Linked DNA regions of Schizosaccharomyces pombe. Each later gene encodes a partner of the first gene's protein in a complex. Each region holds a gene or a part of one and is shown on either strand. Other genes may lie near its edges. The genes, in order: tfb4, rad15, ssl1 and tfb5.

Region 1 (7,848 bases):
GATCCGCAATCGTTCTTGTTCGTGGACTTTTGGATCACTTTGATCAAAAAATTACGAGTGTAGTCTCAACTCACATCAATGCTAATCTTCAACAATTCTCAACAAATCCTTCTCTTGAATGGAATAAAAAATACGTAGCGCTTCAGCTCTTTTCGGCTATTGCTATAAAGGGTCAATCCACAAGACTCGGCGTTACATCTATTAATTTGATGGTAGACGTTGTTGCTTTTTTCGAGAATAATATTAAGCCGGATCTTTTACAACCTGCTGGCGTCATTCATCCCATGGTTCTTGCCGAGGATATTAAATATGTATTTACATTTCGCAACCAGCTAAATTCCCAACAGCTTATTGACATTTTCCCTACAATTTTACGCTTTTTGGAAATGCCCAGCTTTGTCGTTTACACATACGCTGCAATAGCATTAGATCAGTTGCTGACTGTTCGTCATAATCATGTTCATATCTTTACAAGTTTACTAATTGCTCCACACATATTACCCGCTCTAAATCAACTTTTCCTAATTGTGGAATCTGCATCCACACCACAAAAACTTGCCGAAAATGATTATCTAATGAAAGCAGTAATGCGAATTATTATTATGTCTCAAGAAGCCATTCTTCCAGCTGCTAGCCTTCTTCTTCAGCACCTCACAAAAATTACGGAAGAGGTTAGCAAGAATCCTTCCAATCCAAAATTTAACCACTATCTCTTCGAATCTATTGGTGCACTTATTCGTAGTTTATCTAAATCTGGTCCCCAAACCGTCTCTCAACTGGAAAATGCCCTACTTCCAGTCTTTCAAAATGTGCTTATAGAAGATGTTACTGAGTTTATTCCGTATGTCCTACAACTGCTATCTCAATTAGTTGAAGCTAGTGGCAATGAACCTCTTCCTGACTTTGTTGTCAATCTCATACAGCCGTGTTTATCTCCAGCTTTATGGGATTCAAAGGGTAATATACCTGCCTTAGTTCGCCTATTACGGGCAATGATATTTCGTGGTCCTCAGATATTTATTTCCAATAAGTTTGTTGAACCGGTTTTGGGAATTTTCCAAAAATTGATTTCTTCAAAGGTTAATGATCATTTTGGGTTTGATCTCTTGGACCGAGTTTTCACAGTTTTCAATGCTAACATACTTGCGCCTTATATCAACCACATATTCTTTTTGCTGTTAAGCAGATTAAAAAACTCGAGGACTGAGCGTTTCGTTCTGCGATGCACGATTTTCTTCTTTTTTGTTGCTTCTGAGCAAACGGGTACTTGCGGCCCAGATAATTTGATCCAAGGTGTTGATGCAGTCCAGTCTGGAGTATTTGGCCAATTGATGACTTCAATTATTCTTCCTCAAGCACAAAAATTGGCGCTTCCATTAGATAGGAAAATCAGTGCTCTTGGATTACTGCGACTTCTTACTTGTGATCTAGTACTCGCCCCAGACGCAATTTATGAGAATCTTATTATCCCATTATTAACTTGTATCCTCAAATTATTCGAAATGCCTATTGAACAAGCTCAAACAGATGCAGATGAAGAATTGTTTATGGACGAAATCGATGCTGATTCGATGTCATTCCAAGCTTCCTTTTCCAGATTGGCTACTACTGGCGGAAAGAGGGTTGATCCATTCCCTCAAATTACTGACCTTAAGCAGTATTGTGCTACGGAAATGAATCTTGCTAACAGAAATATGGGTGGACGTTTATCTCAAATCATTAGCACGCATCTTCCTGGCGACGGTCAAAGCGTGCTTCAATCATATGGTTACGTGATCTAATATTTATGAAATGAAAATCATCAGAAATCAACTTTCTTGATGTTTTTGTTTAAAAATTTGGGTGTAAATTTAGAAAATAAATGTTTTCATAGAGAAGCATTTATTAAAAATTGTATTTGGTTGTCAAATATTTTTTAAATGAGATTCATATCATTATTTTATCCTATTATATAGTGAAAATTAAGTCGAGAGTTATAAATTTGTAGATTGGTTTTCTTCGCTCGAATGCATATCATACATTGGCATATATACCTTTCGTAACCATGCCTCTTTTGCTGGGTTGTAATATGTATGGCGAAGTAGTCGAATAATAGTTCCTGGTTTAATCCCTTGAATGCGTTTCAGTTGACCAATTGTAGCTGGACGAATCGTCTTCAGCAGCATTAATTCTTCAGCCGAAACAGAATGTAAAGTATCAAAATCAAAATCTGAGGGTATTACTGTAGATTCATCTCTACAATTGAGTTGTTTATTTTGAGTACCTTGACGCTTTATATAATAAGTATACTTTCCCTCAATTATTAAACGTTGTAGTACCCTTTTGGGAATGTCCTTTAGTTTAGGAATGCACGAAATAACACAAAAAAGATCCAAATTTGTGAAGCTCAACAGATCCCAAGCACTTCTATATTTCCCGTCATTAGGAATCGGCATTCCTAGCTTTGACCATTGCTGAGGACTTAAAATGAACTCCTTGGCGATTTTATTGGAAAAATCTAACAAAGATTTAGTTCTTTGAAAGCTTTCCCAATGAGTTTGGTCGTCCAATAAACCTATACTTTGAGCTAATGGAGTCAATCTTAAATCAGCATTATCAGCACGTGTAGTTAACCTATACTCGCTTCTCGAAGTGAACACCCTATAAGGTTCTTTCACACCTTTTGTAATAAGATCATCGACCATTACTCCAAGCAAAGCTGTATTTCTCGGTATGTCTACTGGCTCACGACCAAGAGCACTTAAACCTGCATTTAAGCCAGCTAAGATACCTTGCGCTGCTGCTTCTTCATAACCCGTCGTTCCATTTATTTGACCGGCCAAGTACAAACCCTGAATTTTTTTTGTTTCCAGTGTTGCCTTTAGTTGGGTGGGGATAACATAATCATACATAACTCCATAAGCTGGTCTCACAATATTACAATTCTCCAGGCCTGGAATAGACCTTATTATATTGTGCTGAATTTCTTCAGGCATTGAGTTACTGAGACCATTGGGATACCACCAAGAATTGGGGTCCAATCCTTCCGGTTCCAGCCAAATAAGATGTCTTGCTTTGTGAGGGAATCTTGTAACCTTGGCTTCCAATGACGGGCAATACCTTGGAGAAAGAATATCACCAGCAAGCATATGGGGAGCAAAAGCGAGATTTTTCCTAACAATTTCATGCGTCAATTCAGTTGTATAAGTTCTGTAGCAAGAACGTTGTGGCAATGCCGGTGAAAAATCCCTTTCCAAATTTAAAAAACTAAATGTTTCTGGAATTTCGTCACCTGTCTGCTCTGTCATTTTTGATATATTTATGGGAGAGCTCAATCTGGGAGGTGTACCTGTTTTTAGTCGACCCATTTTAAAACCTAAATTGCTAAGACATTTACTCAAAGGCAATGAAGGTCGCTCGCCATATCGACCAGCAGCTAACTGTGTTAAACCAACATTTATTTGTCCTCCTAAGAAAGTACCAGTAGTAATGACTATACAACTGGCAGGAATAGCAGTGCCATCTTCAAGAACAATTGAATCACAAACTTGTTTACCATCGTCTTCTGTCAAAACATTAATAGAGACGGCCGCGCCTTCTCTAACTTGAAGATTTTTTCTATAAGTTGAAATAGTTTTTTGCATATTTTTTTTGAAGACCGACCGATCCATTTGTGCTCTGGGACTCCATACAGCTGGTCCATTCGATCGGTTCAACATGTGAAATTGAATTGCTGATTCATCGCAGACACCACTGACAACACCACCCAAGGCATCTATTTCTCGCATTAGTGTTCCTTTTCCAATCCCACCGAAAGCTGGATTACAGCTCATTTGTCCAATATTGTCGAAGGACTTTGTTAAAAGAGTAGTTTTCGCACCTAATCTAGAAGCAGCAGCAGCGGCTTCCACGCCAGCGTGTCCACCTCCTATCACTACGACATTCTTCCGGCGATTGAAGGAGGTGCAGAAATATCGCTTTGTTGTTCGAAACATTTGTTCACCCCAAATAAACTATTTCAAAAACATACATAAGGACCTTTTGTTAAAGTACCGACAAAAAAATGCACAAAATATATTTGAGTTATGCGTAAAGGTTAATGATAAATTTGTTGTTGAGGTCTTGCTGAAATAAAACGCTATATAGTCGGGAAAGAGCTGTTAAAAAGCACAGTCAATCAAAAATTCTAAAATTAGTGGAAAATAGACATTCAGGATGTCAGAAGTTTGTAATTGAATCTATCAACAGATTAGGCAATGGTTGTAATGCTCCTAAGGTTAATCAGACTAATTTACGTCTGAAATCTGAAGATTTAGAACAAATATATTACAACCTTTTTATTATTTTTCCTTTTTTAAAAACTATGAATATCTGATTGCAGAATAAACGAATTTAAGAAAATACTTTTTTTTTTTCAAGCTTGTCGTCACTTGTGAGTTTGAGAATATTCGGGCAAATAAAAGTAAACCGGCTCTATTAGTATGAATTATCAATCCGCGCTTTTATTGCTCAGTACAGAAATTCAGAGGTTGAGTTACATGTAAAAACCAAGATTCGTAACCTTACTACAATAATCAAACCAATTCATTATAAATTGCATTCATATAGATCTCAATGTAATATAACTTTTCTGATTAAAAAAGCTTAAAAAAAGCCATTGTTAAAATGATCAAGCACCAACATTAGAGATGCAATAGATTATAAACAGTAGAAAGGAAAGTTCCTGTGAAATAATTTCTGTCAGCATCTTCAACATTAATGATTCGTTAGTAAATTAATTAAAGAATAGTATATAATTTCGTCTTACTGCACTGTTTGGAAAAGAAAGAAGCCAATGCAACTTGAAGAAATAATAGAAGAAGCTCTAAGGAAATAAATAATAATAGGGTACGTTGGAATGAATTAGTTGCTTATACGTTAAGTTTCTACTTGTGGATGCCCCTTAAGGAAATAGTTTGATCCTTCCGAAAAATGTTAACATTTCAAGTGTATCAAAATGCCAGAAAGTAAAAATCGCCAAAAAAAAAGAGCTAGACTGTACAAATCACCAGGATAAGGAGATTTAGGTAATGAAAAACAGGGTTTCAAATATGATAAAGCTGTACACCCGGTGTGAGACAAAGAAATATATAGTTTAATAATAATATAACGAATTATCAAGTGTGCAATTTTTTTGACATAGGTTCTACCGTGAATTTGGTATGACAAGTAGAACAATGCACCCGTGGTTCACAAAATACTAAAGAGGTTAGCAAAAGGTCAAATGTTCAAAGCCTATCGTAAAGCTTTGTTACTACTTACTTGATAGACAAACTGAGCAAACAAAGCCAATATCCAAAACCTTTTTGTGGCAAAAACATGTAGCTCGAAAATCAACATTCGCTTGGTTTGGGGTATTTAAGTGTTTTCGAAGATTTTGATCCGGAAAAAGCGACATCATGAGATATTGTAGTAAGCCTTTGGGGTTGTCAACTTTTAAGTAAATCCCTCCTGTGGCATCTGCTGCTTGTTCTAAAAACAGGGTGCCTCCCTCAATGTTGCAAACGTTAATTGGAATATTTTTCTTTTGAGCACAAAATATACAATTCATAGTAGGAATATACTGAAGAGCAACATCACCAGTTAATGAGAAAATTAGAATTCGAGAACGAAGAGTATTTTTATTTTGAACTTGATTGATATATGCAAGGGCTCTAGATAGTGCTCCGGAAATCATCGTTTTTCTTGAAACTTTATCAGTCGAACTCATGAGTCGCTTCATCCCAGATAAAACTAAGTCGTCTACCTCACGAAACTTTCGATACGTATTTGCCTCCTTGGTAGGATCTACTTCTGCGACTTTTTGCTCAGGTGCAATCGAAGGGTATAGGTATTCAACCTTGTCCGAGTGTGAAGCTAACACAGCAACTCTATTATCATGATGAAAAGCTAAGTGTGCGTTTAGAAAAACCGTAATATCTGCCAGTACCTTGGAAACAGGCACTTTTTTGGAAAGGGAGTACCATGAGGCAGGATTTGCGTCTAATATAACTACAAGCAAACTGGGTGTATCATTTGCGTCTTCAGATATATCCCACGAGGCATTTTGTTTCAAAGTTTGAAATTCATCCATCCCTCTTTTTATAATGTGTTTTTTCTCAATGCTTTCCCAACTTTAATACAGGTAGACAACAACCCAGAAAAAGTGTAGGGTTCAAAAAAAGATTGCCAACAAAACAGTGTTATTTCAAAAACATTTATATTCCATTATAATGAAATGGTTTATCTAATGAAATAAAAGGTAAAGTAATTCCAAAAATATAAAAAATTTATGGAGTCGCCAGTGCAGATTTTAGTTTGGCCTTTTCCATGTGACGAGATGAACCAAAAAACACCGTCTACGGTAGAAGAAATTCGTATAGCACTACAAGAACTTGGGTTGAGTACGAATGGAAACAAGTATGTTACTGAAATTGAGAAGCAATTAGTCCGTTTTCTCAGAGTTTATATAAATTAATTATTTACACAGTATAAAGAGAAAAACTGAAACGGCGATGGAAATTTCGTGAAAAACGTCTTGAAGAAAAACGAAAACAAGAACGTTATCAAAAGTTTTCTACTAGTAATGAAAACAAAACTTGTTTGTAGGGTTAAATCATCAATTGTTTAAACATTTTCTATCTAACAGTAACTGAATACTTGTAGACGATACTTGCTAATTGTGGACGTCGAAGCTACATGTGAAGAAGGTTGCGGATTTAGCTTCGAAAACGAGATCATAGAATTACCATGTCTTCTATTCGATTTAATAGAAAAATCCATAATCGACGAATTTCATTCTTACGTTCGCCCATCCATGAATCCTACTTTGTCTGACTATTGTAAATCACTGACAGGAATTCAACAATGCACTGTTGATAAAGCGCCTATCTTCTCAGATGTCTTGGAAGAACTATTCATATTCTTGCGGAAACATTCCAATATTTTAGTTCCCTCAGTTGATGAAATTGAGATTATAGAACCCTTAAAGTCCGTACCCAGAACACAGCCCAAAAATTGGGCCTGGGCTTGTGATGGTCCTTGGGATATGGCGTCCTTTTTAGCCAAACAAGTAAGTGTTAATATAATTTTGTTCGGTTTGTCTCACATTTCGCTAACAAATCGTATTATCAGTTCAAATATGATAAAATGCCAATTCCTGACTGGATCAAAGGACCATTCGTAGATATTAGGTCTTTCTATAAAGACGTTTATCGCGTTCCACGCACAAATATTAATGGAATGCTAGAGCATTGGGGTCTTCAGTTTGAGGGAAGCGAGCATCGCGGAATAGATGATGCGAGGAATTTATCACGAATTGTTAAAAAAATGTGTTCGGAAAACGTAGAATTCGAATGCAATAGGTGGTGGATGGAATATGAGAAGAACGGCTGGATTCCGAATCGAAGTTACCCGCCATATTTCGCAAGCTAATGCTTAAAATTTTTATTTCGACTTCATAATCAATATATTTCGTGGAATCTGGTAGAGATAAATTATCGTTAAAATTCATAGATAAAAAAAATTTCCGAAAATTACGTCAAAAGAATGTTTAATCTTCATTAGATGACTCCTCTTGAGGTGCATGGGACCTCGCATGTCCTTCTTTTGCAGAGGTTGGCCATAGGTTGGGAATTGCGATCCTGTGGGAATTAGTTAGTATGAATCAATTCATACTCTCACTTACTGTTGAAACTGAGGAGAAACACAACGATTAGTAAACCATTGTCGAATCCTTGATTCGATCAATTGTGTAATTTTAGGAATGTCTTGAAGCTTTGACCTAGCTCCCACAAGAGAACTTACTTGTAGCGAGATCACGAAATTGGGGTCAAATGACAAGTTCATATA
Region 2 (9,709 bases), on another chromosome or scaffold:
AAATATAGAAAACATGCCTTTTCAGAAGCGTTTCTCACACTTTCAACAAATGTCGTCCAGCCCATCTGCCAAATTCTCTTACCAAACTAGTCTTGATTATGGCCATCCGTCCTCGGTAATCGAATATTTCGTCCAAACAGCGACGCTTGGCCATCAAAAAATTTAGTGGATGACAATAATCTATGTAACAAATAATACGATAAAATTGCCATGATGAGTAACAAAACAACAAAGGCAATAATTCATCAACTATTGAATAATCATTTAATGGTCGCGAAAAGGAAACAAATATAATTTTCTACAATCAATCATCTACAATGACTGATGTTAGAGCTTGAAAACGGGATGTGAAAAATTCAATCAACATGACTTCAAATGGGGTGAGAAATTGTAATTAAGCAAAGGAAAAAAATAGGCAACAAGGCATGGTTGTAGCTGCAATTAAGGGACTAATGTGTCGTGAAACTCAAAAATGTAAAAAAAAGAATGACAATCCCCTTGCATAATTGAATTACCCGTTGAAATTTTTGGGAAATCCGGTTACTGCAGACGGAAGTTGAAAGTCAACTTTATCTCGGTTCTTTTTTTCCTTTTTTTTTTTTTTTGCAACTTCCTTACCGGCACGCAAGGTCCGTCGCACTTCTGGACCAGGAGTAAACTGCTTACTTATTGAAAGAACAAAGAAAATTTTAACCTTTCTTTAAATACGCTTTCTTTTCTTTTTCTTTTTTCAGGCTATTTTTTTGCTCCTCCCGTCATCCCTAATAGCTAGTCGGCTTTAACGATTATTATTTTAGGAGATGCTAAAGTGCAGATTGACGGTCTTGTTCGTAATTTGCAATCAGTCTATGTCATGATCCCTGACCTCAGTACAGTGGAAGCTGTCTGGCTGGCAAGGGTAAAGGCTAGTAAGTACTATCAATTATGTATGTCAGTTGTGGATGGGGAATTATTATTGAGACTTTTTACAAAGTGTCAAGCTCGAGATTTGGCCATTACATGTCGGTAAAGCAGCTGAACAGCGATATGCCGTTCATAAAAAAGCGTCAGCACAAGTGAAATCAAGTGTCATGACATGAAAGTCTAATCGGTTATTTGCAACATTAACCGAAACTTGTAGAAAATGCGCTCTTTGGCAGTTGAAAAACGCAGACATTACAGATGCTATAAATACATAGTATTAAAAACATAATAACAAATAACAATAACATGTTAATTAATCTTGCTATACATAGTAACATCTATAAAACGCAGTGTAAACAGAAATCATTTTGACATGAATTTCTTATGTAACAAATGAATCTTCCATCTTTAAAGGGAAATCCGATCGCTGTGTTCTCAAGTTATCGACTCCTTTTTCTCATAGCAAAGGCTGAGCAAGCAATCAAAGCTTTTGCTCCTAGGATTATCTAGGACGATGCAACTTCAACATTCGTTGAACGGACCGCATACCCATTTCCTAGGTTCAGGATTTAAGCTTTGTATTGTGTTGTGTGGTAGTACAATTAAGCAAAAAGGAACCGAACCGTTGGGGCTGAATATTGTTTTTCACTATCAAACAGGTAATAAGATATATATGAAGCAAGCAACTTATTTGTAAGCCTAGCTAAATGCTTTATCAATATAAACTCGAGGGAAATATTGGTAGCATAGTATTCCTTTAACTTTTCTTTTTTTTTAAATTAATTTTGATTTCACTTTTTAGTTAACGAAAAGAATTATTTTTTATTTAATAATGGCAAGCGGAGTTGTTTCAATCCAATATATTACATTTACCAGTAAAAAAATTCGATACTTTCCCTCCACCGTGTTAAATTGCTGCATTTTTTTGCATGTTACGGGATGTAAGGAAATAATCTCAAACCAGTCATCCTTACTTTGGTTTCCTACATTTAATGAGCCATGCCATCTATCCTCTATTTCAATACCTTCCTTCCCATTTTTTTCTGCTAAATCGATATGTTGTTTTTTAAATACTCTTTGTTATTAGTACTATATATGCACTATTGATTTTGCTAGCAATGTATTGTATTATTTGTATGTTTTGTAGAAAATAACCTACTCGCCAACCCAAAAATACCAGTTGTTTCCGACAGCGTCATTTATTCATCACACTTTTCCGAAAATCGGCTTTACAAGTCCCGAGTAAAAGTGAATCAAGAAACAGCTACCATGAATTTGATCAACGATTTTGAGTAACCACAGAAAAACTCAGTATGGCCCATTACGGTTGGAATGGGTCGTTGTTATGAATGCCATTTTCTTGTTACCGAGCGGCAAACTCCAACAGTATATTGTTTTGTAGCATCGCTAATGAATGATTCGTTAAGTTTGTTTTCGTGGAATTTCATGCTCTTCTTTTATACCCGAAAGCCGGATACTCGTCGATATACTAGATGTGTAGTGAGTTAATTAATTAGCCAGAAATTAGTGAATGGGAGAGATTTTTAAAATATCAAGATTGATCATTACTAATCATCTTTCATCTTTCACAATACTTGTCATCGATGATTGATAGAGATTGCCAAGAGACATTAGGTAAAATAAAACGTAACAGTTTTGACGATCTGCTGATTTGCTTGATGTCAACCTTGGGTATGTTTTCATTAAACATGATTGCTGATGGGTTTCATAATTCGTGAAAAATTGATAAAGCACTTTTCCTTATCATCTACACATAAGTGAACAGGCAAATCAATCCGTATTGTCTCCTCAACATACGGAATGTCATTAAAACCGGTAAACTGTACTAACCGGTGATTACGGGATAATAAAAAACCACTTCATTCATTTCAAAAACTGTTGATATAGTATTCTGTATGATTTCAAGAAGATAACTCTTCGGTGACTTGCTGTTTATTGCTCACCTGGCGATTCTAATTCCTTTTATTTTTTATCCTGATACGTATGTATTTGTTTTTCCCTCTTTAGAATAATATTCATTAAGCTTGAATAAGCGGTTATTAGTTTGCAAATGATTCAGCAGCTATATGTGAGTTTGCCCTTTTTCACTTGTCTACAGAGTCGGGAATTGACTTGTAAAACAAAATAAATGGAATATTGCAAATGTATTCTTTTTGCCTTGTGTTTATTTAGGAGTAGTATTGCGGAAACTTGTTTTCAGAAAACAAAGTAGCGCTTATGCTCGGTAACTACGAAAATACGAATTTTTTTTCCAATAAACTAGTATTTATTAAGCAATTGCATCTTCCATTAACCATGTCATTTCCATCAATGTATAGTTGTATGTACACCATGTATTTACGAATATTATCCAATTTAACGTACTTTACAGTATTTTGCTTATAAATGTTTACCGTACCAACTCAGCGTTCTTCATAATCCAGTTCTATATGCACTACAAATATAAAGCAGCCACTGTTAATTTCAGGACTCATTCTTTAAGCTTGGATCGACAAGTAGTTTCTCCTGAGATTCTCACTGTAAAGTAGCTCACTTAAACCTTAGGTCAGAATTATTTCTTGGTTCGTTTTGTTTTACCCTCTTCCATCCCATGTTTATTTATTTATCTTTGTGAACTTATTCATATTTGTGTATCAGTGATTGACGACTAAATATTGAACCAAAGCAGAACCTACCTCATTCTTATAATACCCATAAAAATTTATTTCTCGCTTTATTCATTTCATTTTTATGAAGCGATTGTTAAGCGATCTTTACCCACTATTATTCATCAATGCTAGTTCATAATTCTTTTGTTTCAACTTTTTATCTTATTATTTAATTCCTAAATTTTTTTTTGGTCCAATAGGCTGTCATATACTCAAATTAATTTCCTCAAAGTCAACGGATTACACCCATAATGAAGTTCTATATTGACGATCTACCTATTCTGTTTCCTTATCCACGCATCTATCCCGAGCAGTATCAGTATATGTGTGATTTGAAACATTCTTTGGATGCGGGAGGCATTGCGCTCTTAGAAATGCCTTCGGGTACTGGAAAGACCATTTCTCTTTTGTCCCTTATTGTTTCATATCAACAACATTATCCTGAGCATCGCAAGCTCATCTATTGTTCACGTACCATGTCGGAAATTGATAAAGCATTAGCTGAATTGAAGCGTTTAATGGCGTATCGGACTTCACAGTTAGGATATGAAGAACCATTTTTGGGTCTCGGACTAACCAGTCGCAAAAATTTATGTTTACACCCTTCTGTTCGTCGTGAAAAAAATGGGAATGTGGTAGATGCCCGTTGTCGCTCACTTACGGCGGGTTTTGTGCGGGAGCAAAGATTGGCTGGTATGGATGTTCCTACTTGTGAGTTCCACGACAATTTGGAAGATCTTGAGCCACACAGCCTTATATCTAACGGTGTTTGGACCCTTGATGATATCACAGAATACGGCGAAAAAACTACACGATGCCCCTATTTTACTGTACGTCGTATGCTACCGTTTTGTAATGTTATTATTTATTCGTATCATTATTTACTAGACCCCAAAATTGCTGAACGAGTTTCTCGAGAACTCAGTAAAGATTGCATTGTTGTTTTTGATGAAGCACACAATATTGACAATGTGTGTATTGAGTCTTTAAGTATTGATTTGACAGAATCTTCTTTGAGAAAAGCTTCGAAGAGCATTTTGTCTCTTGAGCAAAAAGTCAACGAAGTAAAACAGTCTGACTCAAAAAAACTTCAGGATGAATACCAAAAGCTTGTTCGGGGCCTTCAAGATGCTAATGCCGCAAATGACGAAGACCAGTTTATGGCGAATCCCGTTTTGCCTGAGGATGTTTTAAAGGAAGCTGTTCCTGGAAATATTCGACGAGCCGAACATTTTATTGCATTTTTGAAGCGTTTTGTAGAATATTTAAAAACAAGGATGAAAGTTTTGCACGTTATTGCTGAAACACCAACTTCTTTTTTGCAACATGTTAAAGACATTACATTTATAGACAAAAAGCCGCTTCGGTTTTGCGCTGAGCGACTCACTAGTCTTGTTCGTGCCTTACAAATTTCACTAGTTGAAGATTTTCATTCTTTGCAGCAAGTAGTAGCTTTTGCGACCCTTGTTGCTACTTATGAGCGTGGATTTATCCTAATTTTGGAACCCTTTGAAACAGAAAATGCTACAGTTCCCAATCCAATATTGCGGTTTTCCTGTCTTGACGCCTCAATAGCTATTAAACCAGTTTTCGAAAGATTTAGGTCTGTGATTATCACGAGTGGTACTTTATCCCCCCTCGATATGTACCCCAAGATGTTGCAGTTTAATACTGTTATGCAGGAATCGTATGGAATGTCACTTGCACGAAACTGTTTCCTTCCTATGGTAGTTACTCGGGGTAGCGATCAAGTAGCTATTTCTTCAAAATTTGAAGCCCGTAATGATCCTAGTGTTGTTCGCAATTACGGTAATATACTGGTTGAGTTTTCGAAAATTACACCTGATGGCTTAGTCGCATTTTTTCCAAGTTATCTCTACCTTGAAAGTATTGTTTCTAGTTGGCAAAGTATGGGTATTCTAGATGAAGTCTGGAAGTATAAGTTGATTTTGGTGGAAACACCAGATCCTCATGAAACAACTCTCGCCTTAGAGACTTACCGGGCTGCTTGCAGCAATGGCCGTGGAGCAGTATTGCTGTCAGTCGCTAGAGGAAAAGTCTCAGAAGGAGTGGATTTTGATCATCATTATGGTAGAGCAGTAATCATGTTTGGTATTCCGTATCAGTATACTGAGAGTCGTGTTTTAAAAGCACGGTTAGAATTTCTGAGGGATACGTATCAAATTCGGGAAGCAGATTTCTTAACATTTGATGCCATGCGGCATGCTGCCCAATGTTTAGGTCGCGTTTTGCGTGGAAAAGATGATCATGGAATTATGGTGTTAGCAGATAAACGATATGGTCGGTCTGATAAGCGTACAAAATTACCTAAATGGATTCAACAGTATATAACCGAAGGCGCTACAAATTTAAGCACTGATATGTCCCTCGCTTTGGCGAAAAAATTTTTACGAACTATGGCACAGCCTTTCACTGCGTCTGATCAGGAAGGGATTTCTTGGTGGAGTCTTGATGATTTGTTGATTCATCAGAAGAAAGCATTGAAGTCTGCGGCTATAGAACAATCCAAACATGAGGATGAGATGGATATTGATGTGGTTGAAACTTAATAGAAGCCATTTGTAAAATACTTTGATTCTAATCATCTTTACTAAGGCAATCCAAAACTCATGAACACAGCGATGAAGATATTTGGAAGCGAATGGCTAACTTTTTTGTAGGTGTGGACAATGTATGTATCAACTTGTATTCGAGAGTTGTATAGTGGACATTTCAATCGTCATCACGATACGCATGCTACTTACGAATTGTTTTAAGATCGCAGAGCAGAGAAAAAATATTATTTACACTCAGTTGGCAATTAATTTGCGAGTCGCTAAATTCGAAGTACTTTAAAATTTTTTTAGAGACTGTGTTCAAATAAAATCGGTTTCAGTTGTTGTAATGCTTCTTAAATTTTCCATCCCATCAATAACAATCCAGCGTTTCAAAGAGTGATTATTGGCAATTTCATGCTGCTATGGAAATTAAGCTTACATTAAGCGAGCTAGTTAAAATACGTGATGCAGTAATTGTAAGCCTAGTTATATAAACAAAACATCTGTTTATCATTTAGATACATAAAACAAAAGTTTACATATTCATAATATATTCTCATAATCTAAAAAATTTCCTTGATAGTTTTATGTCGATAAAATTAGTCTCCCATACTTAGTTCTAAATAAATGAACGTTTTGGGGTTGTACAACTGATTCATTGCTGTATTCTATGTAATATATAAATTTCTTGAAAATAAAAAATCTTTTGGTTTTACGGATTCACGGTTGGCTTATACGTAATTGCCAAGCACATATAAGATCAATGATGGTTTCTTTACCAAACTACTGTATAAAAAAATTACTCTAGCACAAAAAGGATACCGCTTTCAGGAATTCTTAAATATAGAAAAAAAAATAAGTGTAGCTTATTGCAAGGGTTGTCTCTAGTCACGTTGGGGTAGTCAGAATCCTGTCATAACTACTGCTTTGTATCTTTGATTAGCAAAGTAACTTATTGAATACAGTCAGCTGTCAAATTACAGAAAAAGAAGCAACTTTAATAGTATCTTAAATGATATAATCTTCGATACAGGTTTCTTTGAGAATTTGGCCAATAGCTAGAAATGTTTAAACGACGTCGAAATCCAAAAGGTCTTGTGTTGAATCCTAACGCCTCTGTTAAAAGCTCTGATAATGATCATAAGGAAGAGTTAATTAACAATCAAAAAAGCTTTGAATCCAATGTCGAAGCATTTATGGAGCAATGTGCGCATATGAATCGACGCCCAGCTTGGATATCTGATTTGGACAATAGCAGTTTGGAAGTAGTGAGGCATTTGGGAGAGGGAAATGGTGGGGCTGTTTCATTGGTAAAGCATAGAAATATTTTTATGGCTAGGAAAACAGTTTATGTTGGGTCAGACTCTAAACTTCAGAAGCAGATTTTGCGAGAGTTAGGTGTTCTACACCACTGTCGTTCACCCTACATAGTCGGTTTTTATGGAGCTTTTCAGTATAAAAACAACATTTCATTATGTATGGAATACATGGATTGCGGATCGCTTGATGCAATTCTTCGGGAGGGAGGTCCTATTCCGTTAGATATTCTAGGAAAAATTATAAATTCTATGGTGAAGGGTCTCATTTATTTATACAACGTTTTACATATCATTCACAGGGATTTAAAGCCTAGCAACGTTGTCGTCAACTCTCGTGGTGAAATAAAGTTATGCGATTTTGGAGTTTCAGGTGAACTAGTTAACTCGGTTGCTCAAACGTTTGTGGGGACTTCAACTTATATGTCTCCTGAACGAATTAGAGGTGGAAAATATACAGTCAAAAGTGATATTTGGTCTCTAGGAATCAGCATTATTGAACTTGCCACCCAAGAATTACCTTGGTCGTTTTCGAATATCGATGATTCAATAGGGATCCTAGATTTGCTTCATTGTATTGTTCAAGAAGAACCACCTAGACTTCCATCTTCGTTTCCTGAAGACCTCAGACTTTTCGTTGATGCCTGTTTACATAAAGACCCTACACTTCGCGCCTCTCCACAACAACTCTGTGCGATGCCATATTTTCAACAGGCTCTTATGATTAATGTTGACCTTGCTTCTTGGGCCTCCAACTTTAGATCCTCGTAAATGTGCAAAGGACGCAATGGATACATAAATTATGTTAGACCTTTAAACATCTTGTCGTCAAAAAGAAGGATTTCAGAAAAATCTTTTTAAATTAAACTTTGTCATGAAATGGATATTTTTGGTTCTAACCACACCTCTTCAATTATAGTGGTACAACACAATGTGGAGAACAATGAGATTTTGTCGTTGACGAATATTTCCGCTTTTTTCTTAATACAAAGCATTATTAGATCGGCCATAAATAGGTATCATATTTTGTTTATCAATTTTTTACTTCATTAAAGTGCTATGTAAATGCCCTCTTTTTTTGGTTATTCCATTATTAATTATCATTACGACTGTGTTCAAATGTAATTCTCGGTACACTGAATTGCTTTCGATTTAAGTCAATGAATGTTTTTTTTAACTACTTGAGTTACAGCGTCCACAATAGTCTGAGTTAAGTTTTACCCAAGCAAGTTAATCAGAGTCCTGCATGTCAAATCGCACAACTTCTAATAAACCAGATGATAAAAAATTAAAGCTTAAAGCCCGTAGTTTGCAAATATTACAATTAATACATAAACCATTCAGATGTAAAATTTAACGAAGTAAGCAATTATTATTTACTTGCCAGCTATGCAGTTTGGTATCTGTGTTAACGATACGTAGACTCCAAAGAGTTTTCCTTGTGACCTATTATATTGCAATATACAGGTAATATTTGTAGCTACAGGTTGTATGTATTATACTATCTAGATTATATTGTTACCTATCATTAATTTAGCTATTAACTGAACTGAGGAATGAGGATCAACAGTAGCTCTATTTACAGTATTCAAAATAATATAAATTTTTAAGAGATTATTATTAAGATCACCTAAATATCGTAACGTACGTGTACGATGAATAATTAGGACATGTGACATATAGTGATAATCAACGTAAGTATTATAGCGTAGCGTAATATTACTAACGGCGAACTGCGTAGCTAGTATGCTATTTCTGATTCGAAAAACCACTGTAATAAGTAGCGAAGTACTTTAAGTTTTCATTTCACTTTAACACCAAGCTTTCTGGGTTTTTACTTGTTTGCAAGACGCAGCAAAAGATTTATCAGTGATTAGTGCTGTAGATTGAATTTAGTTAGCCTTGTCACTTGTTAACATTAAAAAATTTTGTTGCAATCCGTTTCACTACGATTGTAATTTTTAACAAGTGTTCATGACTTCGTTGCCAGAAAAGGATCAGCAAGGCGAAGTTAGTGTTTCAGGTAAGAAGTTCGAGGTAATACCGATTAATTTTTTATTAACAGAATATAATTTTAGAAAATCAAAAGAAGCTCTCAGAGGAATGGGAGCCTTATATTGATAAACTTGTTGCATCTAATAGAACGCGTGACGAACGTGTTGAATCAATCCAAGAATTGTTTCAAAAATGTGTCATTGAAGAGAAGTTACCAGTAGACATATTTTTCTCTATTTTTTCCTTAGCTTTTGAAAGATTGGAGGAA
Region 3 (8,433 bases), on another chromosome or scaffold:
ACCATGGCTCAAACCCTTATCCCCTTCTTTGATAAGCTTTTGAAATAATATGCTTTATTTCTTCATTTCAATGTTGAAATATTGTTGAGTGTGCTCTGTTTTTCTATATAAATAATTCATTGGGGTTGTAATCTTTTGAAAGACTTTACTTTTTGGTTCTTTTTGTTTTTGTCATTCAAAAGTGAAGAAAGTTTTTTTTTGAGACTGTTATTGATCTTTTACTTTGTAAAAATACTAACAAATATTTTGTTTTTCTTTTAATTTTTTTAGATATACTTGTCCTTAATCTACTTATTTTCTCAAATATTACTTCGATTGGTGTTTGTTTTGTTTATTTTGTTTGTTTCTGTTATTGTTTATTTTTCTGAGTGAACTTACCTTGGTAAACACTATTTGTTTTGGTTGGATATTTATAGCCTGGTGTCAGCAACTCTTCATCCACCAATATCCAATTTCCGAAAGAACAGAAAAAACCATATCCATTAAATATTAGTTTTTATTTATAGAGTTTATTATGCAGTCAATTGATTTAAGGCTACCTTCGACTTCTGCAAATCATTCAATCTCTGAATCGCTGGAGCATTCCAAGTCAGAATTAAATGAACTTTCAAATGTTAGTGAAAGCGAATCTTATTTCGATATTACAAAGAAACTCCATGCATTAAGCACTGTTGTTCAACGTCAACAACGAGAGATCGACAATCAGAAAAGAGATTTGTGTACCAAAACGAAACATATTGAAGAATTACAAACGCTCTTGTCTAATGCAAATATCATGTCTGATGGGGCTTCTTCTCAAAATGATGCATTTGCTCATAACCCATCTACCTCTGTTTCTGTAGAATTAGTTCGACCTGTTGTTGGGACTAAAAAGCATGCAGTATACGCAACTTCAGCTCCTAAGAGCATGTCATTGCAGGATTCTTTGTCTGTTCCTTCGGCAACTGCTTTGGCTGATGTTTCAAGTTCGTTGAATTATTCTCGAAAATTAAGTTCGAACAGTATTAAATCCACGAATGCTCCTGTATTTGGAACAGCAGTCAAAAACGTAACAGGTGAAAATATATTGTCTGCATCTTCTTCTGAGGAAAATTTGAACTCTAATAGAAACGGAGATCCAAAATTTCGTTTTTCAGTTTCACCATGGATATCTTCTTCGAATTTTAACCCTTATGAGGCTTCGTTAGCTAATTTCCAATCGGACAATTGCAAGCTAAAATCCCATAACTCATTACCATCGATCCGTACCAATGTTCGATATAGCAATTCTAAACCGTCAACACCATTATCTCCAGAGGATGTCGATCTTGGAACTTATACAGTTAAGAACCGTGATAGTTGGTCGAATGAAGTGAATCTCTCGGCATCCACAAATAACTTGAGTACGAATACGTCTGGCACGTTAAAGCCATACTCACTCAGCTCTTCTCGGAGTTCTTCGTACTCGAAAGGAGTAAATAGTGCCGCCAGTTTACAGTCCATATGGGAAACTATGAATAACTCGAACCCATCTGTCATCCCCGAGTCTACTTCTTCAAGAGAACCAGCTGCCCGATACAGAAAAATCTCTGAAAGGAATGCTGTATATGATTGGAATGTTATAATTGATAAAATTATTGTAAGCAATGATCAGCAATCTTCGATATTCCTTCAACAGAAGCTGAAAATTTCTTCTTATGATATGAAACAAAACATTGTTGATTCCATAATATCTCAAATCCATCCTCTGATGCTTAACCGCTTTGGGAATTTCTTAGTTCAAAGATGTTTTGAGCATGGCACTGCCCCACAAATTCGACAAATGGGATCTGCCATGTTGGGAAATATGTTAAAATTGGCAACAGATCCTTTCGGATGCCACGTTGTTCAAAAGGCAATAGATAATGTGACAGAAGATATTAAACTGGCTATGATGGACGAGTTATTCCTCACTATTGATGTTACAATAATGCACCACTATGCATGCCATGTCTGGCAAAAATTGTTTGAAACGCAATGGTACGAGTATCCAGTTAATGTCATGAATCGCGTAAACAATGCCTTGAGAGGAAAATGGCACGAAGTTGCAGTCGGGGAAAATGGAAGTCTCGTAGTCCAAAATATGTTTGAGAACTGTGTAGAGAAAGATAAGCGTGAATGCATTGAGGAAATCATTTTTCATTTAGACGGTATTGCACGTGGTCAATGGGGAAACTGGGTGGTGCAACACATGGTAGAAAACGGACAAGGAGAGGATTTGAAAAGAGTCATTGATGCATTATTGAATCGTGCAGTGGAATTTAGTATTGACCAATTTGCCTCTAAGGTCATTGAAAAAGCAATTAAGTCTGGCCCAAAAAATTTCATTTCCTTATATCTAAAACAAATTACAAACGCGAGAGTTGACCGAACAAGGCAGCCTTTAATCGATATTGCATCTGATCAGTATGGCAACTATTTAATTCAGCAAATAATTCAACTTGGTCAACCAGCTGAGAAAAACCTTGTCATTACGCATATAAAAAAGCACATGGTTTCTCTTCGGGGAAGCAAGTACGGTCAGAAGGTTGCTTATTTAGTCGAGAAATGGAATTCTCAAAAACAGGTTTCCTCTGTAATCAACTACAACTGCAATACTGACCTCTGATCTGTAAATATAGGGATATATTCATTTCCACATTTTAATTAGTTTTTATTTTATATATGATACAGCTCTAACACTTACTGAAGCATCAATAGATCAAATTTTCACTATCTTCCGGATAAGGTAGTTAAGCAACGATCTCTTTAAATAAGTAAATTGAAATATATATCTCTTTACATATTTGTGAATAAGTAGCATAATAGTATTTTAAAATAATTATTATAAATAAATGCGTTCATTAATATACCAAAAGAAACTTTAATTTCCGGAGCATTGGCATCCATAACACTCATGAAGTTGTTCATGCGCAAAAACATCGCAATCCAAACAAAAATGATTTTTACACGAGGGACATGCATACCGCATCGATGAAGTAGATTCGTCAAACGGTGAAACCGGCGGCTTCGGAAAAGGTAACTGACACGCAAAGCAATGAGTGGACTTTGGATTTGCGGACCAAGGAATTTCGCTCCAGTTTTTCAATGGAAACAAATGATGATAAGATCGAGCAAGATGTGTTGAAAGGATTAGAACGAGAGAACAACTAGGGCATTCGATCGGTAAAGTACAAACTTTTGCTTTACAACGAGGACAATGAAACCCACCACGAGACGGAATTGAATGGCAAGCACAAAGACTTGGCAATTGCTCAACGACCTTAGAAGGAAATCCCATCATTACCAAAGAAGCATCAGTGGTTTTAGCCGAATCAGTAGCAGGAGGTATTGTGCTTTCGAGTAGAAGTTCGCGAAAATGTTGTTCACTGATGACTACGCCGTAGGCATTTTTCGTAGATGAGTTAGTTTTATTACAAATTTCTTTACAAATGGCGACTTCAGCAGCCAAACCAACGATACGGACACGAATAGAATCATGAACCAGAGCATCAATCGTCTTGAAAATGTCGCCAGGGTCTGATGATAAGATGGAACCAAAAATGATAAGGACTTCTCTAGTGCCATGGGAAGCAATGTGTGATAAAGAAGCTCTAGCCATTTCGAGAGCATTTTGAAGAGAGAAGTTTCCACTACAATCTCGAAGAGATTTAAGCTTCTGAATATGCGATTGAGGATTCCCATGCAAATCAGTTATCCGATGAGCGATTCCATCCATTACGCCTATAATCGATAATTGGGAAATAGGATTTTGTTCAAAAAACTCAAGAACAAATTCAGAAGCATACTTTATCTGAAGGTCGAACCGCTTATGATGAAAATCACGCTCCTCCATAGAGTTGCTCAAATCTAACACCAAGACCATGTGTCTAATAATACCTCGTTGTAACGGAGTTGTATCTCTAAGAAGTCTAAATCAGATTGACAAGTTAGTATACCGTTCATCGATGCTATAAAAGACTAATATGTTTCCAAATGCCCAACATAGGCAACTAACAAACAAATGAAGAACATAAGAAAACCAATTTTGATACGCCATACCTTTTACGTTTCCCGCTTTGAATAAGCCCAGCGATAACGCCTACTAAACTACCCTCTGCGTCCTCCTGTACGATATCCCAAGAACGCTGATATTCACCTTCCCAAGTATAACCCTCATTATCGTCAGTTTTCCTGCTTCTTACTTTAACTCTTCCATTTTTTTGTTCATCCTCGCTTTCCGACTTGTCAGAGTCAAAACTTTTTTGGTTCTCATTCATTGAGTGTTATTTTAACCGAGCATAGGTATTATGCCAGAACGCTATTTGATAATTAGATAAATGAATATTGCACAAATTCTATTCCTTGGTTTCTACAGACTAAAGAACTCAAAGCGAATGTATTTCTTCAAGTCACGTTTTACCCAGTGAACTTTTGGTAATTTGAATAGTCGCGTCGAGTTGCTTTACATGCAATGAGCGAAAGTTCTTTCTTTTATTATTTTTAGTTTTATTTTTTTAAAAAGCAATGACTCCTGGGCATACCAGTAAAATGGTAAGACTAAGTAAGTACTAGAACAAGAGACCATTTACACGAAGACAATACGGACAAGGAGCGCAACCATTATTTGTTAAATATAATAATGAATTTCGTTATGCTGCGTTAATTCGTGTTTATCAGTCTTTGATTTGTGATATGAAATTTGTATACAACTATTTCTGTTATTTGAAAAAACTTAGGAAATTATGAAAGTAAAAGAAGAATATAAAATAAATCTGTACTCCTCATTCTTTAAGGATGAGTTATATATCGTATTTTATAAAATTATTTATGGCTCGGTTATTTGTACAAACTGCATATTGCAATATAGTAGAGACTTAGAAATTTGCAAACTGCGTAATTGCCAATATTTTATGTAAAGCTACAAGTGATATGGACATAAGAAGAATAATTACTTTTCGCTTAGGCTGAATGTTGGATGGTTTGCAGGACGAAAGAGTTCATTTAATTGATTTTCTCGAACAGAAATTGGCTACTGACTAGGAATTGCGAAATCGCATTGTTTAAGAAGTTCTCGTTCTACTCCAAGGTCGATTTTTTCGTTTTTATTTGTCTTAGAAACAAATTTCAACTTATATTTGCTGTATATACTGGTTTTTAAAACTCCAAAACTTGAGAATGATGAATGGAATCCTTATTTCGTATATATCCAACAAAAAAAAAGGTTAAATCACTACTTTGCATCTTTTGAGTAATGTCTTAATTGAACAATTTTTTAAGTCGCAAATCTTACAAAGTCACAATTAAGGATTGTATATCAATTTGGTAAAACAATAAAGAGGATGATTAATCTATAATTGACAACAGATTCATTAGTTAAATGAATTTTCCTAGCACCACAAATACACATCGTGTTTGCTCTATAACAGAGACAAAAATAGTGATGACTGTCATCGAAAATGATTAAGTGATGATGCATATAAGATAATAATACAAGGAATAGAAATAAAGGAGAAAAGTGACTTTTGCAAGAAAGTAAGAAAATTAGTGATGAAATAAAAAAAACCCTCGCAACTGTTGGCAGCCCCTTGATTTTTTTCTCTAGCCATGACTTTTAGTTGCTGCCCGATTCTACATCTTTAGAAGTGTTGCAATCGGTTTCCTCAGCCATTGTATTGTCACTTGCTGGCTCTGTGGTAATTGCTTGGCCTCGCATAGACGACATTTCAACGTCGCCAGTCTCTTCATCTTGTTCTATTACTTCGAGCCCGAGAATAAACAACAGTAAGGATAAAATAATATGAGCCAAACCTTGAATTGCTTTAGCTACATATTTAGCTAGGCCTGCAATCGCTTTAGCTAGACCTTCATTCGCTTTAGCTACAGACGGTGCATAAACATAAGCTTCTTCAAACGCTAATTTAATTAACGAAAATGAAACTAGAAAATCGTTAGTCATGAATTCAAATCATCTCAAAAACTTACAATAAACAATAATCACTGTCATCACGTATGTAAATATTAACACTATAGTTTCAATAACATATTTAACCACAGAATTAAGATCCGCCAATGCCTGATCGAAATAATTATAAAAATTATGATAAAGCAATAAAGTAAGAATGAAAGGAAGGAAGATATGAAATATCGCATATCTAGCTTGTGTAAGTCGCACATTTTCCGAACGCTTTCTTAATCTAGCAGGTGCAGCCATTGTATTTTTTTTTCGTAACGATGGTTGTGTTAATGTTGAGTTTTGTTTGACAATTGGATTGTTTACATGATTATTGACTGAATATGAAGGACAAGAATGTAAACAACCCTTCTCCAAATCATTCCAAACTTCATTGTATTGAGGTAACTTTTCGTCTGGCATTTTGAAGAGCCTTTTACCAATAGTGATTATATACGTTTGAGTTTCAACTTGAACATTGCAAAATAAAATGCGAAATTAAAATATAAAATAGATAAATAGATCAAAACCAAACGCTTGAATAGCCTAAAAATCCACGCGTTCTAAGCATCCAACAAAAAGAGATGGCTCTTGTTAAGGAATGAAATTGAATCATTGTGCTGTCAATATCAATTTACGCACAAGTTAGCATTAATTAGGTACTGCGTACCAATACGCTATAATAGCGATGCCTTGCTTCGTTTTATCATACTTTGAAAAGTATGCAACACTAATTGCTAGACAGTGAGCTACACTAAAATCGCTATTAAACATTACGTTACGCATCAAAATACACTACATGGAATACCATGTCAGCAATACTACACTACGCTATGATACACTACGTTGAGTATCACTATATGTCACATGTTCTAATTATATATCGTACCATGTATGATACGATATGGAGATTGATCTTAATGATAATCTATTAAGATCAATATTATCTGAATACTATAAATAGAGCTACTGCTGAACCTCGTTCCTCAGTTCAGTTATGAGCTATATTAGTGATAGGTAACATTATAACCCAGTTAATACAATACCTATACTCAGTTGCTACTTATACAACCTGTGTATTGTAATATAATAGGTCACAAGGAAAACTCACCGCAGTTCTACGTATCCTTAAATCAGATACCAAACTGCGTAGCTTACATACCAATTAATCTCAATTTGTTGAACAATAGCAGAAGACTATATGTTTGTTTACTAAAACATCCATTGATATTGATATAAAATAGTAGTTAAAATTAGAAGTCTAGATTGAAACAGAGCATCATTCTCAGTCCAGTTATTAGCTGTTACAATGATAAATATATTATCACCCACCACTCACAATACTGTATAACGCAATATACTTCTTCTACAAACTCAACGCATTTTCTAAGTAGTTTGGAGAGATTGTAAACTACTAATTTGGCAGTTATTATATAGTATGCCGCATTCATAATCTTTAGTAATCTATGAGCTTAGCGATAGAATTCCTTCAGTGGCCTTATAATGTTGAAATTAGCATCAATTTTTATAAGATTATAAACATGCTATGAATACGATTAATGAGAATATTTAGTAAGACAAAAGTGTATACTTAAATTGCTTTTTTTGGTCTAATATAATAACAGTATCTCTTTTAGTAATATTTAGTTAAGAGATCTAAAGCAAGCGACGTAGAAACAAGTGGAATCGGACAATGAAGATATGCAGACAGCCCGTTTTAAGAAGTGGATATTAAATTCCAAATTCAATTAATAATTAGTAATTAATGGACCCGCATGTTAAGCTTTCAACGTCCTTGGTAATAATAGCTTTTAGATATTTACCAAATAATGTGAGTTAAAGTAATGAACTATAGCATAGTGATCGTTAACTTGCAGTTTAACGATTCACGCCTAGGATGCGATAATCTAAGCACCGTTGGTTTATGTCTCAAAAATGGCACCGGCGAAGTACTGTTTTCTGGTTTGATTAAGCAAATGGCTAATTTTTATATTTTTCCTTTATTACTGGAAGCCAGATCTGATCATTTTTATGAAGGAAATGAGTACATAAAATATTTGTCCCATCGCATTCATGGATTACGAAAATCCCTTCATATTACACAGAGAGGTGGGAAACCAAAATCTTCAGTAGACAAAAGGTAAGAGGATTATGCTAATGTCCGATTGACTAATTATGTACTTCTTTTGTTATAGATATGCTGAAATTTTACTTTTCAATGCTGATCGTGCTTTTCAACAATTTGTTTTTTTGCGATCTAGTCAACGTCGACATGCATTGCGCAGATTAAAACGTGCAGATCAATTTGGAAAAGAGTTGGTTTCCTTTACGAATGCATTTGATTGCAACGATCATATCTTTTATTTGGAGGCTATTGCTTTTGCCAAATATATCGAGGGTACTCTAAACTACGAGAAACGAGATTGGGAAGGCTCTTTGAGCGCTTTTAGTATTTCTCGACTTTCATTCCTAGTCTTGCAAAA
Region 4 (7,103 bases), 1.5 Mb from region 1:
TTCTAGGCAACGATCTGCTAGACTCGTCTTGTAACATGGCATGCTACAAATAATAACTTTTTAAATAGATAAAATAAAGAATAACATATAGAACGAGAAAGTCCTTTTAGTGTAAATACCGTAATGACAGGACTGTGTTGTTGTGAAAAGTAATTCTTAGGTAGGAATAGTATAAGTACTTCGAAAACCAAACTTGAACTTCCAGCGTGTTAGTAGAGTATATACTAATTTATGGAAACCAATGGAAGTTTTTCAGGGTATGGCTTATTAAATTTTTTATTAAGTTGACTAAAGTTTTTATTTAGAGCACGATTGGTTGATGGCAAATGGATAATTCCAGAGAGCAGGCGAAAAGATGGTAGCGTGAGGCGTGAAAGAGCTGTTAAACCAGGATATACTGCACCTGAAGATATCAAAAGATATAGACCAGGAAGAGGAAACTTCGCTTCCTTAGAGAAGCAAATGAAGAAACTGCAATTGAGTAACGATGCTTCAACTTCTAAATCGATCGATAGGCCTCCAATTTCAGAATTAGAAAAAGAAAAATTAGAAAGACCACTTTCTAACAAGAAAAAGGAGAAGAATGATCATAAAGCGGAGAGTTTAAAGCATGATTATGATAGTGTTGGCGAAAAGCGTATCTCGAAGGATTCTGTTAAACATCTGGATAAAACTTATTCTTCAATAGATTCTAAAAAAGACTTTAAGTATAATTTCCCTAAAACTCAAGCTCCAGAATGGAGAAGAGGCGCGAAACCGCTTTCTAAAACAAGTGAACCTAGTGTCTACTCAGAAAAGATGAGCAAGAGAGAAAATAAGAAATCCATAAATACCGTTGATAAAAAAACTGGATACAAGGAAAAAGAGTAACTGTCCTCTAGTGAACCACAATGATTACAGATTTGACACCCGCTGAGAAGAAACCCAAAAAATAAGCAGGAGTGCTAATGAAAAGCAAAAAAATGGAGAGCAGCTATTTTATCGTCCTTAATTAACAATCATTGAAATAATTTCATCTATTTGCTTCTGTATTCATCAGTGATATGATTTTTGTTGCGAGAACAGCATACAAAGAAGAAAATGGGCAATGATGTTTCTGCTTTATCTTTTGCAATGTGTACTCTTTGGATAATATGTAATTATTAAGGGAAAAAATAATTGCATAATGCTTTGAAAGCAATCCTTTGTTGTATTGCTGGTTAGCAGTAAGAAATGGTAGCTTAACGTTATCAAACATAATTGTGGTTTTTTTGAATGTACTATTTCAACAAATTACTTAAATAGTGATGTGAATTCTTGGAAAGGAAATTTTGTCGCTACAGTTGATTTTAAATTAAAGAAAACTTAAATTCATTAGTACTTCTAGTCTCGTATTAACTATAGAGATTGTATAACTTATTAAAAAGCTTACATATTCGGAAATATGGATGAAATGATTGTTTACAACTGGCTATTGTTTGTTTACCTAGCTAACTATAGTACATATTCGAACTGTTACTTGGGTTACCCTGACGCTGCGTGCCACTTTGTTATTAAAAAGAATAACAAATACTAATTTCGCTTCGCCAAATAACAACGAGCTAAACATCATAAACTGACATGAACTGACATCTAACCAGCATCAGAACAAAGACGATTTCTGAACTACACTTTTCAACATGTTTGAGTCTATAATAGTTGACAGAGCAAAGACAACGTTTTTGGGAGAGCTCAAAAGCTACAATTTTTCGTATGCGAAATCAGTTGCTTTAACAGCGAAATGTTACTAACTTATTGTAGTATTTATGCACAGTGGCTTGGAATTCTCTCAATTTTTCGTATGTAAAGAATTTCAATCGCGTAATTTGGTTATTCTTTTTAATGTTTGTGATATTCTCTTCTTCTTGTATTGATTGCTTTGTACTTTCTGATAGCTGTGAAGAGAGTTTATGAGCATAAAGAGTTAAGGTGTAGCAAGTGAGTGTTCAAAAGTATTTTTGGTTTGATGAGAATGTATATGTCCCTCAATTTTTTTATTTTGCAGACAATCAAGTTTATTGAATCAGATTACTTCTCATTTCACTGCACACAAATTATGGTCCATTGACATTTAACATTAAAAGGCAGATCTGCTAACCTACTACCTTCAGTTTGCATTATCCTAGGTATTGTCAACCTTTTTCACGTTACCCTTGTCGTTCTTTTCTCAGCTTTGACTATCATTGAGGGCGTTCTATTAATTTTTATTGAGCTTCCTTTCCTTTCTCGTATTTGCCCTGTATCAGACAAATTCCAGGCTTTTACAAATGCTTTTGCTAGCAATTATTACCGTGGTGTAAGTTGTTATAGTTTCTTTTAAGAAAGGCACACAGGGGAAAAAGCATGCCTCTGGATATTTTTAATTCCTTTGTTGCCTTCCTGCTGTCTTTTACATACAGTGTTTATTAACTCTTTTAGCTTGTCTATTTTATATTTTCCGTGGTAACCTTTCTCAGTTGCATCTTTATGGCTACTAGTCTTATTGCCACCGGCATTGTGCTCGCTCTTACTGGTTTATGTTACACCTTTGCCGGTATTAAAGGTCAGGCTTTTACTTCAAGTTCCACGCTTGGTGGAACAGGTATCACGACCGAAACACCTCCCAGCACTATGGTTTAGAATATGCAAAATTGATCTTTATTGATCTTTTTCCTTGTTCATTTGTTTATAGGACAAGCATGAAACTATGCCTTTTCCTTGTTGTATGTTCTTCCAGTTCCCGGTGTTGAAAAAGTTATCACGCGTATGAACTGAACTATCTTTCTAGAAACACCACCAAGTTTCAATTAGGAATGCATAAAAATATCGTTAGACAAAGAAGAACATTTCTCTTATTATACATATTAATTATATAGATAGTATAGTATATTCAAATAGTATAAACTTTCATTCAATACTAAAAATTAAATAAAGACTTGCAAGCAACTACTGAATAGCTCGGCGTAGTTAACAATATATTCAAAACTTATTTTCAAAAAATACAAAATCAGCTGGCTCCTTTCATAATTTTTGCCCATCGGTACACGAGTTTTGGGTACTGTTATGTAATTTGACACAAACGTCAAGTCATTAAAAAATAAACCAACCTTTTCACCCATATCCAAATAAAAGGTAGAATTAATTTCTTTTTTGCATTATTTTAAAATTTTTTTACAATTTAAAATTGAGAAAATGATCATAGATCGTTGACATTGAATGATCCATTAATCGTACAATATTAGGTTCGTCCATCGACTGAAACATTCAGTTCATCATCCAAAGAAAACTTTCGTCATACTAATCTCTTCTTACTCTTCAACTTGATATGTATTTTCCTCAAGGCGTCGTTCTAACTCTGCTTTCACCTGTTCTAGTCGACTTTCATTTACTAACAATCGTTCTTCATCGATCTCTTCGATAACGATACCAGGAGACTGTTCGTCCATGTTCAAAATCAATTGCTTAACGGTTGGGTCACATTCAACCAAGAGTAAGCCTTTTTGTGCGCGTGGCATTGCCTCAAATTTGGTGTCTGCCAGCAGAATCATGGCATGCTACAAGCTCCTTAAGCCACAGGTATCAAGTTACCCATGATCGTTGGATGCCGAATGTAAGAGCAAACAAGAATAAATATCATGCAAGTTTGTTGTGTTAAAGATGGTAATGAATTTGATTATTATGATTATATGCAAAAACAAATTATTTATATGAATAAAACAAGTTGAGGTATTTGAGATCAGCAAAAATTGAAAAAATGATATGACCATTTCGGAAACCTTTTGCTACCATTGCTCATTCCATCCAGCCTCATACTTTTGTCTTAACGGACATATGTATTTTTAGATTGACAATAAACATTTTCGTTTTTGTTGATTAACATGTAATCATGTGATGCGCTAGTAGCGTACACAACTAACATAGCGATGAATTGTTTGTACTTTACAGTGGGTAAAAATTTTTAAATTACAAAACCGACTTCGGTTTGAATAAAGTCTAAAGTGTGCATTGGGAGATCAACTAGTTCTCGGGATGCAGACGGAAAAACAGTAAAACAAGCTCTTCGCGGTACAAGTGAAAAAGATCAAAACGGGCGTTCATGCTTAAGTGCATCTTCATATTAAACTTAAGCTAGCGAAATGGGGGACAGTGGATGCCTCCTACCTAAATCCATCAGTAAAGTAACACCGTCCCCACAAATGCGACTCACCACCAAAGCAATAATATATAGTATAAATAAGACTTTGACATAATATCCTACAAGGAAACTGACAAAAAAAAATTCACTTAAGTTGACCAAATGAAAAAGAGATTACACAAGACTACAAAAGAAGATCATTTACAAAAGGAGACAGGCAAACTATACGTATCACAAACCAAAACGAAAAAAAGTATTTATCAAAATCATAAAATTTATTTATAAGTATTTATAAGTTCAAAAACAAACGCTCAGCCATCTCATCACTGCAACAAAATTAAAAAAAATATATGCAACAATGAATGAGAAGGAGGGTATCAAAGAACAGAGGAAATTTGTAAAAAAGTCATCCATCTATTTATTCACATAGAGTGCGCGTCCACAAAAAAAATGCGAAAATCTAAAAAAGAAAACTCCCGCACTGCAAACGACAACGACTCCTTTGTCTAACATAAAGAAAAAACGGGGAAAACAACTCCAAAAGACTTTCCTGCATTGCCTTTAAGCACCCACCCGACGTTTCTTAGCATCGGGATGATTAGCTAGTTAGTTGTCCTTGGCGGCAGTGTAGGCAACCAAGTCAACGACACGGCGGGAGTAACCCCATTCGTTATCGTACCAAGAGACGAGCTTGACGAATTGAGGAGAAAGTTGGATACCGGCAGAGGCATCGAAGATGGAGGAGTGGTTGTCACCGCAGAAGTCAGTGGAGACAACAGCGTCCTCGGTGTAACCCAACACACCCTTCATGGGGCCCTCAGAGGCAGCCTTGATGGCGGCCTTGATGTCCTCGTAGTTGGTAGGCTTGGCCAACTTGACGGTCAAGTCAACAACGGAAACATCGGGGGTAGGGACACGGAAAGCCATACCGGTAAGCTTACCGTTAAGAGCGGGAATAACCTTACCGACGGCCTTGGCGGCACCAGTGGAGGAGGGGATGATGTTGGCGCTGGCGCCACGACCACCACGCCAGTCCTTCTTGGAGGGACCGTCAACGGTCTTTTGGGTGGCAGTGGTAGCGTGGACAGTGGTCATGAGACCCTCCTCGATACCGAAGGTGTCGTTGATGACCTTGGCAAGGGGAGCCAAACAGTTGGTGGTGCAAGAAGCGTTGGAGATAACCTTCTCAGAGGGGTTGAACTTCTCCTCGTTGACACCGACAACGTACATGGGGGCGTCCTTGGAAGGAGCAGAGATGATGACACGCTTGGCACCACCCTTCAAGTGAGCAGAGGCAGTCTCTTGAGTGGTGAAGACACCGGTGGACTCGATAACGTAGTCAGCACCAGAGGTAGACCACTTGATGTCGGCGGGGTCACGCTCGTTGTGGACATCGATGGCATTGCCATCAATGACGAGCTTACCATCCTTGATCTCGACGGAGCCATCGAAGCGACCGTGGGTAGAGTCGTACTTGAACATGTAGGCCATGTATTCAAGATCGATAAAAGGATCGTTGATAGCAACGACTTGGATGGTCTTAGCGACCAAAGCGTTACGGAGGACAATACGTCCAATACGACCGAAACCGTTAATACCAACCTTAGGAATTGCCATTTTGAATCAAGTGTAAATCAATACTATGGATGAATGATCTATACAGAAGCGATGCTAGGCACCGCCTGCCTCTATTTATACCTTTCCATCCCACACAGCAGCCATCAGCCGTGGTGTGAATGGGGTAAGGGTTTCCCCCGACTATCTTTACCACAATTGCCTCGCACTCGATTCGGAACAACTAAGGAGCAAGGTGATTGGAGAAGGTGCGCGATCGTGATGTGGTGCCAACTTTCCTTGACTTTCTTTGCAAGTTGTTCCGAGATGGTCGTTGCTTCGTTGGTAATCTGCCTCGTTCCCGCTCCTGACTTTGATTGCACATTCCATGACGTCAGCCTTGTGAGGAAAGTTTTTCCGACGCCTACCTCAGCGTGATGCAAGCCTTGTCACCTGAAGTCAGGGGGAAGGAGGAATTGCTAGCACATTCCAAAGTCAAAAGGTTGACAAGGCGGTTGTCCATTGGCTACGGAAAAATCACAAGACAGGGTCCTTTCGTAGCGAGGCCAAATGCACCCTGAGTCATTTATCGCCTCTGGCCTCTTTTAATCAAGCGCCGAGCGCATTGTTACCTGCAGGAAGCCGGGTGAAAGCGGTCGAAGAGTTTCGAGAGGACGATTGCGATGGTAGGTGAGGAGGTGATGATGGCGCTTCGGTAGTAGTGGTAGAGCGGTGCGTCGTTGCTATCATGCGTACATTCAAGCAGCATCAGCAGCAGCAGTTGAGGATGACAGCGGCTGCTACTGATGCTTGAGCTACAGTCGTCAAACAGATGCAGACTGTGGGTGTGGGTGGAAAGTGGGTAGAGAGAGAAGAGATGAGTGATTGTTGGTGCGATGTCCTGAGCTTCAACGTTTGTGCATAAAAGGAATGGACGCACAGTTTGTTTATTTAGTGTGCATGCGTGCGTGTATATTTTGTTATTTGCATTTTTGTATGTATGTGTAATCGTATTTGTATGGGAGTTTACAAAAATTCAGGAATTTTGATTTTCCATACTTTACAGCGTCCAAACCTTCTCACATCTGCCAAAACATCCTTACTAATTGAATTCTCCCGTCATCTCATCAACATTCATCATCATTTCACGCTACGCCAACAGTGTGGCATATACATGCAATGCAATCCACAGGCAATTTCAACGCTAGCATTGACTTGCTCAAACATGGCATGTCGACGTACAGTGCACCACTCGTACTAATACACTGCATTGCTCCACGTAAGCTCCATGATGTGAATTGAGGAATTTACTCCACCATAGTTCTTGTCTTTTAGCGAAAAGAGACATTCGTTACGAATCTCATATTCTCCTTGTGCGTAATTTTTTGACTTGCCATTTCATTCCCAAAACCAACGA

Evidence for each region.
Region 2: tfb4 (region 1) and rad15 share a complex: the UniProt entries of both Schizosaccharomyces pombe proteins name them as parts of the 7-subunit TFIIH core complex.
Region 3: tfb4 (region 1) and ssl1 share a complex: the UniProt entries of both Schizosaccharomyces pombe proteins name them as parts of the 7-subunit TFIIH core complex.
Region 4: tfb4 (region 1) and tfb5 share a complex: the UniProt entries of both Schizosaccharomyces pombe proteins name them as parts of the 7-subunit TFIIH core complex.

Annotation. Positions count from the first base shown.
Region 1 is NC_003423.3:1,314,403-1,322,250, forward strand, and holds tfb4 (transcription factor TFIIH complex subunit Tfb4), read right to left. Parts: upstream 6,175-7,848; 5' UTR 6,092-6,174; coding exon 5,281-6,091; intron 5,219-5,280; coding exon 5,136-5,218; 3' UTR 4,668-5,135; downstream 1-4,667. Other genes in the region: karyopherin/importin beta family nuclear export signal receptor Kap109, read left to right, coding at 1-1,781; ips1 (GIDA family tRNA uridine 5-carboxymethylaminomethyl modification enzyme), read right to left, coding at 1,974-3,974; double-strand siRNA ribonuclease Eri1, read left to right, coding at 6,338-6,417, 6,495-6,602, 6,664-7,069, 7,132-7,431; ERMES complex subunit Mmm1, read right to left, coding at 7,550-7,640, 7,685-7,848. UniProt on the Schizosaccharomyces pombe protein: Component of the general transcription and DNA repair factor IIH (TFIIH) core complex, which is involved in general and transcription-coupled nucleotide excision repair (NER) of damaged DNA and, when complexed to TFIIK, in RNA transcription by RNA polymerase II.
Region 2 is NC_003424.3:660,959-670,667, forward strand, and holds rad15 (transcription factor TFIIH complex subunit Rad15 ), read left to right. Parts: upstream 1-3,389; 5' UTR 3,390-3,823; coding exon 3,824-6,142; 3' UTR 6,143-6,689; downstream 6,690-9,709. Other genes in the region: MAP kinase kinase Byr1, read left to right, coding at 7,195-8,217; THO complex subunit Tho2, read left to right, coding at 9,421-9,469, 9,525-9,709. UniProt on the Schizosaccharomyces pombe protein: ATP-dependent 5'-3' DNA helicase, component of the general transcription and DNA repair factor IIH (TFIIH) core complex, which is involved in general and transcription-coupled nucleotide excision repair (NER) of damaged DNA and, when complexed to TFIIK, in RNA transcription by RNA polymerase II.
Region 3 is NC_003421.2:380,317-388,749, reverse strand, and holds ssl1 (transcription factor TFIIH complex subunit Ssl1), read right to left. Parts: upstream 4,560-8,433; 5' UTR 4,278-4,559; coding exon 4,060-4,277; exon of another isoform or gene 3,930-4,059; coding exon 2,882-3,929; 3' UTR 2,703-2,881; downstream 1-2,702. Other genes in the region: ggc1 (guanine nucleotide transporter), read left to right, coding at 1-48; meiotic pumilio family RNA-binding protein Mpf2, read left to right, coding at 515-2,626; SPOM_SPCC1682.06 (uncharacterized protein), read right to left, coding at 5,612-5,937, 5,983-6,373; srp68 (putative signal recognition particle subunit protein), read left to right, coding at 7,927-8,090, 8,146-8,433. UniProt on the Schizosaccharomyces pombe protein: Component of the general transcription and DNA repair factor IIH (TFIIH) core complex, which is involved in general and transcription-coupled nucleotide excision repair (NER) of damaged DNA and, when complexed to TFIIK, in RNA transcription by RNA polymerase II.
Region 4 is NC_003423.3:2,806,283-2,813,385, reverse strand, and holds tfb5 (transcription factor TFIIH complex subunit Tfb5), read right to left. Parts: upstream 3,513-7,103; coding exon 3,306-3,512; 3' UTR 2,847-3,305; downstream 1-2,846. Other genes in the region: N-end-recognizing protein, UBR ubiquitin-protein ligase E3 Ubr1, read right to left, coding at 1-37; protein mni1, read left to right, coding at 232-257, 306-870; SPOM_SPBC32F12.12C (golgi membrane protein involved in vesicle-mediated transport), read left to right, coding at 1,659-1,729, 1,780-1,817, 2,130-2,314, 2,437-2,637; glyceraldehyde-3-phosphate dehydrogenase Tdh1, read right to left, coding at 4,739-5,749. UniProt on the Schizosaccharomyces pombe protein: Component of the general transcription and DNA repair factor IIH (TFIIH) core complex, which is involved in general and transcription-coupled nucleotide excision repair (NER) of damaged DNA and, when complexed to TFIIK, in RNA transcription by RNA polymerase II.